Linked DNA regions of Caenorhabditis elegans. The protein of the gene in region 2 interacts with the protein of the main gene of each other region in a biochemical or structural test. Each region holds a gene or a part of one and is shown on either strand. Other genes may lie near its edges. The genes, in order: npr-6 and flp-26.

Evidence for each region.
Region 1: the proteins of flp-26 (region 2) and npr-6 interact in a test that uses a peptide from one of them, tested with the Caenorhabditis elegans proteins (one large-scale study listed by BioGRID).

Annotation. Positions count from the first base shown.
Region 1 is NC_003284.9:10,282,285-10,287,616, forward strand, and holds npr-6 (G-protein coupled receptors family 1 profile domain-containing protein), read right to left. Parts: upstream 3,451-5,332; 5' UTR 3,412-3,450; coding exon 3,328-3,411; intron 3,199-3,327; coding exon 3,112-3,198; intron 3,061-3,111; coding exon 2,966-3,060; intron 2,917-2,965; coding exon 2,831-2,916; intron 2,774-2,830; coding exon 2,661-2,773; intron 2,442-2,660; coding exon 2,265-2,441; intron 2,177-2,264; coding exon 2,001-2,176; intron 1,954-2,000; coding exon 1,816-1,953; intron 1,325-1,815; coding exon 1,251-1,324; intron 1,203-1,250; coding exon 1,119-1,202; intron 962-1,118; coding exon 867-961; 3' UTR 535-866; downstream 1-534. Other genes in the region: slc-9B.1 (Cation/H+ exchanger transmembrane domain-containing protein), read left to right, coding at 1-39, 94-225.
Region 2 is NC_003284.9:7,027,279-7,030,281, forward strand, and holds flp-26 (GGAGEPLAFSPDMLSLRF-amide), read left to right. Parts: upstream 1-1,857; 5' UTR 1,858-1,896; coding exon 1,897-1,971; intron 1,972-2,054; coding exon 2,055-2,234; 3' UTR 2,235-2,362; downstream 2,363-3,003. UniProt on the Caenorhabditis elegans protein: FMRFamides and FMRFamide-like peptides are neuropeptides.

The DNA.
Region 1 (5,332 bases), 3.3 Mb from region 2:
CTTGTTGGATCTAAATGTCTCTCTCAATACAATCCACAGGTAGCGTTCTCACTCCCATTTTTGAAATGCAATGTGAAACAAATTTTCATTCAGGATGCGCCGGCAATTGAGAAAAATTTTGACAAAACCTATATGAATGGTGATCATGTTGATGAAACCATCTATGCCGCCCGTCCGAAGACATATTCGGAATACCGCAGTGAAGCTGTTATCGAAAGATATTAAAAATTTACCCAAACTTTTTAGATTTTATTACAATTTTCCTCTGAAAAAAAAAACAAAATAATTCCTAATTTCCCATATTTATAATATTATTATCAAGTCAATTCAAATTCAATTTAAATGACCATAACCAGGAAAAGACATTTCACCAATTTTCCAATTCGATTTATTTTACTTATCCACATCTACCAATTTCCCGTTCCAGCATGTTTTTAAATATGTCATTCTGAAATTTCGTCATGATTCTGTTATACCCTTCTTACTTGAACCATATCTGATCTTATCAACCACACCAGTTGAACCAATTTTTTGTAACCAATATGAAATTTCATTTACAAATATTTTATCAAAATGTGACAAGAAGAAGAAACAAAAGATAAATCAGCATCAAGCAAGATTTGTGCAAATACAGCAGTGCATAAGTTAAGTATAACCACATAGTTTAGATCAGGACAGGTTTGATCAGAGATTTAGCTGAAAAAATCTTAGGAAAGAAAAACAATATGACCAAAAAAATAAAATGTTGAATAAGTGTTTTTATGAAAATTACATATGAAGGCAAGTGGAAAGCGGATAAATGTACTGGCAAGTGACATGACTAAAAGCGACTTTTGTTCTGACTTTCCGGTTTTGTATTGAGCGGCTTAAAGCAGAAGCGTCTGACAACTTGATCCGTTCTCAGGCTCATCGAGATACACGATACTGCGCTGCGGCTCCACTGCAGTTTGAAGTGGACTCTCTGAATCTGTTTCTAAAGATTGCTGGTTTGTTGAAAAGTTCACTGACAACGAGTGCATGCAGGGAATGAATGGCTTCCTATTCTTCGTTGGATGTCGGGTGTAAAAGTTCTTAACGAAGAATAACTAAGGATCAAACAACATAAAAGTAAAACTCACCAGAAATCACCGTAACAGGCTGTTCCTCCACTTTTTTTTTTCGGTTTGCACGTCGAAACGGGTTAGTTATCATAGCGGTGCGTTCTAAAAAAAAAGCTAAGCAAAAATAACTTCAAATTTATCAGGTTTTACCAGTGATGACGCGAATTGGACCAGTTCCAGGACGACGCGCAAACAAGCAGGGAACAACTTTTGCGAACTCCTCACTGAAAATGAGCATTGCAAGAAAATGAAAATTAAATAATTCAATTTATTGAATTTAATTTAATTGAATTTAATTGAATTTTGAACTGTGCAAATTTTTTAAATAATCCTAAATTTACCAAAAAGTGTCTTTTTTTTTAGTTTAATCTGTTTCTAATTATAAGAAGAAACAGTGTCACGAGAGGAAATTTTATTGAGTATTTATAAAAAATAAATTTTTAATAAAATAAATGAGAACTGAACACACAAATGCAGTCTAAGATAAAACTTCTTGACTTTTTATCAATTGTATTTTCTAGCACATGTTTACGTATCAAATTTTATAACTTGTATTTTCAACCTGAACGAGAAGAAAACAACCCCTCGTAATCTTTTAACTGCAATTTATTTTCCAATAAATCGTTGAGTCACTAATGATTATCAATTGTTGTCTGTATTGTTTAAAACGGGTTTTCGACCAGACGGCGGCGAAATGCAAATCCCATAAACCCACCGGAAGGTCTCATTCATGAATGCGTAGAGGATTGGATTCCAGGCGGTAGCTGTCATACTCATCAAATGCACGGAAAGGAAAACAAAACTGAAGTAGCCACGCATGAAATTATCCAACTTGAGATCTCGGAGACAGTTTCTGAATTTATTTCAAATATATGACATATTATTCACTTCTAAACTAACAAGAGGTTGAATGGGAACCAGCAAATTGCGAAGATGACCACCATGACAATCAACATCCGTAGTAAACGCTTTTTGCGCTTGATATCGGATTTTCTCTCGGTCATACTTTGACGGCTATTTAGGAACAACCATATTTTTATGTAACTAATGGCAATGAGTACAAATGGCAAAATGAACTGAAAATTGATTTGTGCATAGGCATAGATATATGTATATATAATCCCCCGGTAATTTATACAAATAATTTCATTGTCCCCAACTCACTTGAAGAATCATCACCACAATTCCAAAAATAGATCGAAATTCGGCATTGCTCCAGTCCTCACTACATATCAGAAAATCACATGGTTCATGAATGTAGTTGAGCTTCATGTTGATGGCATACGGAGTGACCAGAAGCAATGAGCATAGCCAAATGAGGACAATGAACGAAAGGCAAGACTGAATTTGGTATGTACGAAAGTTTCAAAAAAATTTTAAAAATTAGAATTTTTTCCAATTACAAAGTTGTTCTACACCGAAAACAGGAAAAACTATTATTTTCATGGAGGTTACTTTGTTAACTGTACTTCAAAAACACCTTTCTATAGACTAAGAAATGAGAGTTTTGGTTTTTTGGAGTTAGGTTTTTTATTGATACATTGTTCCTGCTCAACTTACTCTCATGGACATTCTATCATTTATATTGATATTTGATGAGTTGTGCACGATCACTATGTATCGATCTATGGCTATAGCCGTAAGTGTCCACGTACTGATGAAGATACTTGTACCTGTATAGTTAGATGCTTGATCACTGCTTAACTTCCCGTCTATATGTAAACCAATACCTTGGAACAGGGGTAAACCATGACACAATCCACCTCCGAATATCCAATGTCCTATTGAGGTGTATGTTGGTGTAAGCCACAACGATCTGAATATAAGAACCGGATATATCACTTCCGATTTCAAAAAAAACCCACGTAAAGTTAACCATTATATCAGAAACTGCGAGATTTGTAATAAAAATGTTGGTGATCGTCTGCATTCGCTTGTTCGTCATCACAACGTACACCACCTTAAACACAGTTGTTGGAAAACTGGAGAAATCGAAAATGATATTACTTACCAAAAAATTACCGGAACTAGCAACCAAAAAAACAGCACAATACATAGAAATAAAGAATGGGCGGAAATATTCCATTTCCATGGGGTTCTGAAACGTGTTTTTTTAAAATAAAAATTACTCGGCTTCAGTTAAAATAATTCATAATCAAATAGTTTCAATGAACATTTTTGATTTTTTTTCAAACGTTCACGAACAATTTTGGACACGAAAACTTACGTTTTTGATTTTACATGTACTTTGATATGAAGGTGTTGTTTCATTTAGTATAGAAGACACTGAAGGCACGAGATCATTCGACATCTGAATCAAATATTATCAGAAATTGGGATAAACGAAGAGCTGAAAATATTAGAATCGGGAGATAAATCGAGTACATTTTAAGAATTGTGAACTGGATATGTTTGGTTGCGATGTGTCTCGTTTAGACCTCTTTAAGTTCATAATATTCTGACGTGGGCGCGGTGGAAGAGTCGGAAATGAACTTGATTTTAAGGAGAAAAAACGAGATTTGACACGTTTCATAGAGCAAAAGATGTTAGAAGTATTTTCAAATTTAAAGCTCCCAAAAGAATATAAAATTGAGAATATGTTAAGTCAGTTATGAAAATTTAATGATATTCGCATCTTTGCAATTGACACTAGAAGAGCGACCACATCTAAACTAGAAATCTACATAGTTCATATAATACAAAACTGATGTCATGATTTTTGAAAAAAAAAATCAATAAAAATTACAATATTAATAATACACTATTAAACAGATTCAATAGAACCCAAAGTTTTCAATGATTTTTTAAAAATTGTTTGTTTTCAATTCTTCTTGTCAATCAAATAAAAAAGAGAACATGAGCCAAACACTTCCCTCATTTTCTTATTTTCTCACTTTCTGTGTGAGACTTGCAATTCTAGACGCGAAAAGTGAATCTCAAAGTGAGAAAAGAGGAGGCGTCGTGAACTTTTAAAAGGGAAAGAATCCATATACATGTGAGAAATTTTCTCTTTTTCGAAATAAGCTGAGACCCTTCTTTTTTCCCTTTACGTTAAACAAACTACATACTCATTTATTTAAAATTTGCCTAAAAACTGGTACGCAAACGCACAAAGCGAATCGAGAGTCCTTTGATTTATGTTATGAATTCATCTTCGATGAAGCGAATTTTGAATTTCCTATAAAAAACAGAAAGAAAGGGTCGAAATTCGAAGAAGAAGACGCTTACGTAAGTTCAACAAGCTAGATTCAAATTATTTGGTTTCAATTGAAAATCAGAAATGAAATATGGACGTGGAGAAGAAATAGAAAAAAGATAATGTAAGGAGCCAATGGATTTAATCTCTCTAAATGGTGGGATGTGAAACATTCATGAGATGTAGGCTACTACGAACCAAGGATAATGTTATTATCTTGATTGATAAAGCTCTCATTGTTGCAAAAAAAAGGACTCGCATAGTAGGTGACCTTTTTTAGAACATTTCCTTTTGATAGTTTCGTCTTTGCCCTTGCCCTGTCTATGTATAGGGTTCATCCGTCTATTCTCTATTTTTCGTCTGGAAATCCGACTCCAATACCGCGGAAATTGAATTTCGACCGGGCGATGAGGGGCACCAGAAAAAAGTCGAGAAAAACTGAAGCACTCCTTGAGGTGGAAAAGGAGAAACGTTGCACATGAACTAAAGTAAACAATTCTGAGAGGGCGGATAAGCTTTGGTGAAACTGAGACAACCAAATACAGCTCAAAATTGTAAGGCAAAGGATAGAAATTGGATAATGAGCGTAGGAAAACATTTTTGAAAACAGAAATCAGAATAAATCGAAAATTAATATAAATTTTAGCTCAAGGAGTATACTTGATGACACAACGAAAATTTTAATGAAACGTCACATTTATCAAAATAGATAAGTGAGCACGGTTTGGAGAAAAAATCAGTTGACCGAGAACAAAAAACTCAGACGTTTTTCTTCTAATTCATAATATTTACTAGTCAGATAAAAATTTGATTCGAACGACGAAACTAAAGTGAATCAAATTGGTTGGTGAGTTCTGTGTTCTCCGAAAATGATGATGATATGTTTTCAGCAAAAAGCCTCAAAAACCATGATCAGCTTCACTTATTCACTCATATCTTCGGGAAGAGTTCGAAAAAAACAACAAAATCAGAAATTGTTTCGATTGTATGTAATTTTGTTGAAAACGTATTGAATATATGTGAACTTGTATTTGTA
Region 2 (3,003 bases):
TAACTTATAAAAGTCGTTTTCTTTAAATTTTCTCTCCCTGCATTTTCTTGCAGTTAGGTAATGTTGGTAATTGTGTAGTATAATCTGGCCCGAGCATATTCACCATTTTGAATTTTTAGTGTTCCTTTACAAATTAAGTTTAGGATTGGTGTTTTTCTAACCCTAAATATGCAAATAAATTTCACGTTTTCATTAAAGGTTTGATAACGTATTGGAAGTATTGGAAGTATTTGGAAGTATTAGGTATACTTCACTAATACTCTAATGTTATATTAATCTTGTAAAGGCTGAACATGCTAGCTCTGACCTTCCAGTGCATGTCATTGATTGTGATAGTGTACTTCAATATTCAATTTTCAATCACGTAATCAAATAGACGGCTATAACCAGATGATAATACAGACCCTATTTCACTTCCAAATAGAATAGACTATTGTGACCAATCTACATTTCTCCCAGTATTGGAAGTATTTGGAAGTATTAGGTATACTTCACTAATACTCTAATGTTATATTAATCTTGTAAAGGCTGAACTTGCTAGCTCTGACCTTCCAGTGCATGTCATTGATTGTGATAGTGTACTTCAATATTCGACTAAAAATGACATGAGTCGATAACTCAATTTTCAATCACGTAATCAAATAGACGGCTATAACCAGATGATAATACAGACCCTATTTCACTTCCAAATAGAATAGACTATTGTGACCAATCTACATTCTCCCACTATTTTTTGATGATTTCAATACCTAAATTAATACTTCTAAGCAACGAGACACATCATACTTGTAATGATTCATCAATCGTATGAATCATAGTCAAGCTTCAAGATTTTTTTTGTTTTAATTAAGAAAAGTTGGCGGCCTTTGCGAAACCATATATGAGCATTCAATCAATTTGTCAGGATTCAAGAAGCTCACTATTGTGAGAAACTGCGCAGTTTGGATTTCACCATTTCCATCATGAACATAAAATTTTATGACCCGTACGTCATTTTTGAGCCCTGGAACGCATCACCTTTTGTTCGCCGGGTTTTATGGCCCAACGTGAGCTTCTGTTATTTCCGGGTAACAGAATGCCGAAAAAGGATCCGAAAGGAGGAGCACGGTGGGGTTTGTCATGATCGGTTGGTATGCTCCACCTACTTTTTCCATTTATATTTCGTATAGAAACTGCTAATTTCCCCGTCATCCCCCCCCCCCCCCCCACTTGCTCCTCCTTCCACACTTTAGTCTCTTCATACGATCATCATTGAAATTCTTCACGAGAAACAATTGTAGGAATGAACTCCTCGTCATTTCTATTTTATATTTTCCCTCTTTGCCCTGAAAACAAACCAAATCAGTTAATAGCAATCTCACTGGTATTAGTTGTTGTTTTTTTTCCAGTGAACTCCTAATTCCTAAAACACAGACTTACTCACTTTTTCTCACAATTTTCTTTCTATCCTAAAAAAACGAAAGTGTAAAATGCGACGACTTCTTTATTTTGTTTCCGAGCTGCGCTGAGCTCTCGGCAGACATCACATTGCCTCCTATGTTTTAATTAATTTCTCTATGAAAGTATGAAGACAAAAGAGAAGTATCTAATTGGGATATCTTCAGATCCTTGAAACTATACTTTTGCCCATTTTTATCCTTTTTAAGAGCAAGGAAGTAATCATGAGAAATATACTAGATCGCCTATGTAAATAGGAACGAAATTTGACATGTTGAAACTTCCTCGTTGGTTCCTACTATGTATATTTTGGGAAGCCACATAATAGAAAAACTAGGAACCATTTCAAGTTTCCCTAATCCCCCCGTTTTTATCTTCCAAATTTAAAACAAATTGAGTCTAACTATATTTTAATATATTTTTGAAGGTAACCCGTCAAGAACACTTACAGTTTTCACAATGAAGGTGATGTTCATGCTTGCTCTCCTTTTCAGCTCTCTCGTTGCAACCAGTGCCTTCCGACTTCCATTCCAGGTATCATAGCCCTTCCAAAACTGAACATGTTATAAAAAACGCAACCTATCAACAAAAAATCATGCGTCATGTAGTTTTTACAGTTTTTCGGAGCTAATGAAGACTTCAACAGTGGATTGACAAAACGCAACTACTACGAGTCGAAGCCCTACAAAAGAGAGTTTAACGCCGACGATTTAACCCTTCGTTTCGGAAAGCGCGGAGGAGCTGGTGAACCGTTGGCTTTTTCGCCGGATATGCTTTCACTCCGCTTTGGAAAGTAGTTATTGACAAAAACTTATCAGTGACGAAAAAACAATGATATGATCTCTTTGTATACCACTCTCTCGTTTTCTTTTCTCTTGGTTGGACGACGCTTAGTTACGATGCCTAATAAAGTTTTTTTTGTTAATGCAATATCAGGAGATTGAAAAAAATGAAAAGCCATTTCTTTTCAAACAACCAAACTACCATTGAAAATGTCTTTCAAACCCTGATTCAAAAATGTCATTCCAATAACTGATTCAAACATAAATTTTGAAACAACGGCCAAAATAGTTTTTTTTCATTCGAATTTTTATGTAAAAAATTAATAGTAGATTTTCCTTCTGAAATTTGAACAGACTGAATAAAACAATCTAGCTGAAATTGATGTTTATTTCAATTATTTTCCGAAGAATGCGAAATTGTTTCATCAGAAAAGCTAGATTTTCCATTATTCAAAAACAATTTTTTGATGCGAATTTTTATGCAAAAAGTTAAAAATTGATTTTTTCTCCGGAAATTTGAACATAAGTTTCTATTAAAACACTGGTTCCTATTTGGTTGTATGTAAGTATTATTATATTATGCATCATTTTAGTATTCGAGTCAACTTCCCCCTTTCCCCAGAAGTCTCACAAAAATGCACTGATAAAAAGTCACACTACATGGGTTGAACAGTGTGATTGATTACAAGCTTTGGAACATAAGTTTAAATTACTTGTTTTATTTGGAAATGTAAGTTTCTTATTCAACACTCACTTCATTGAGTCAGTCTCAAAAATATGTATA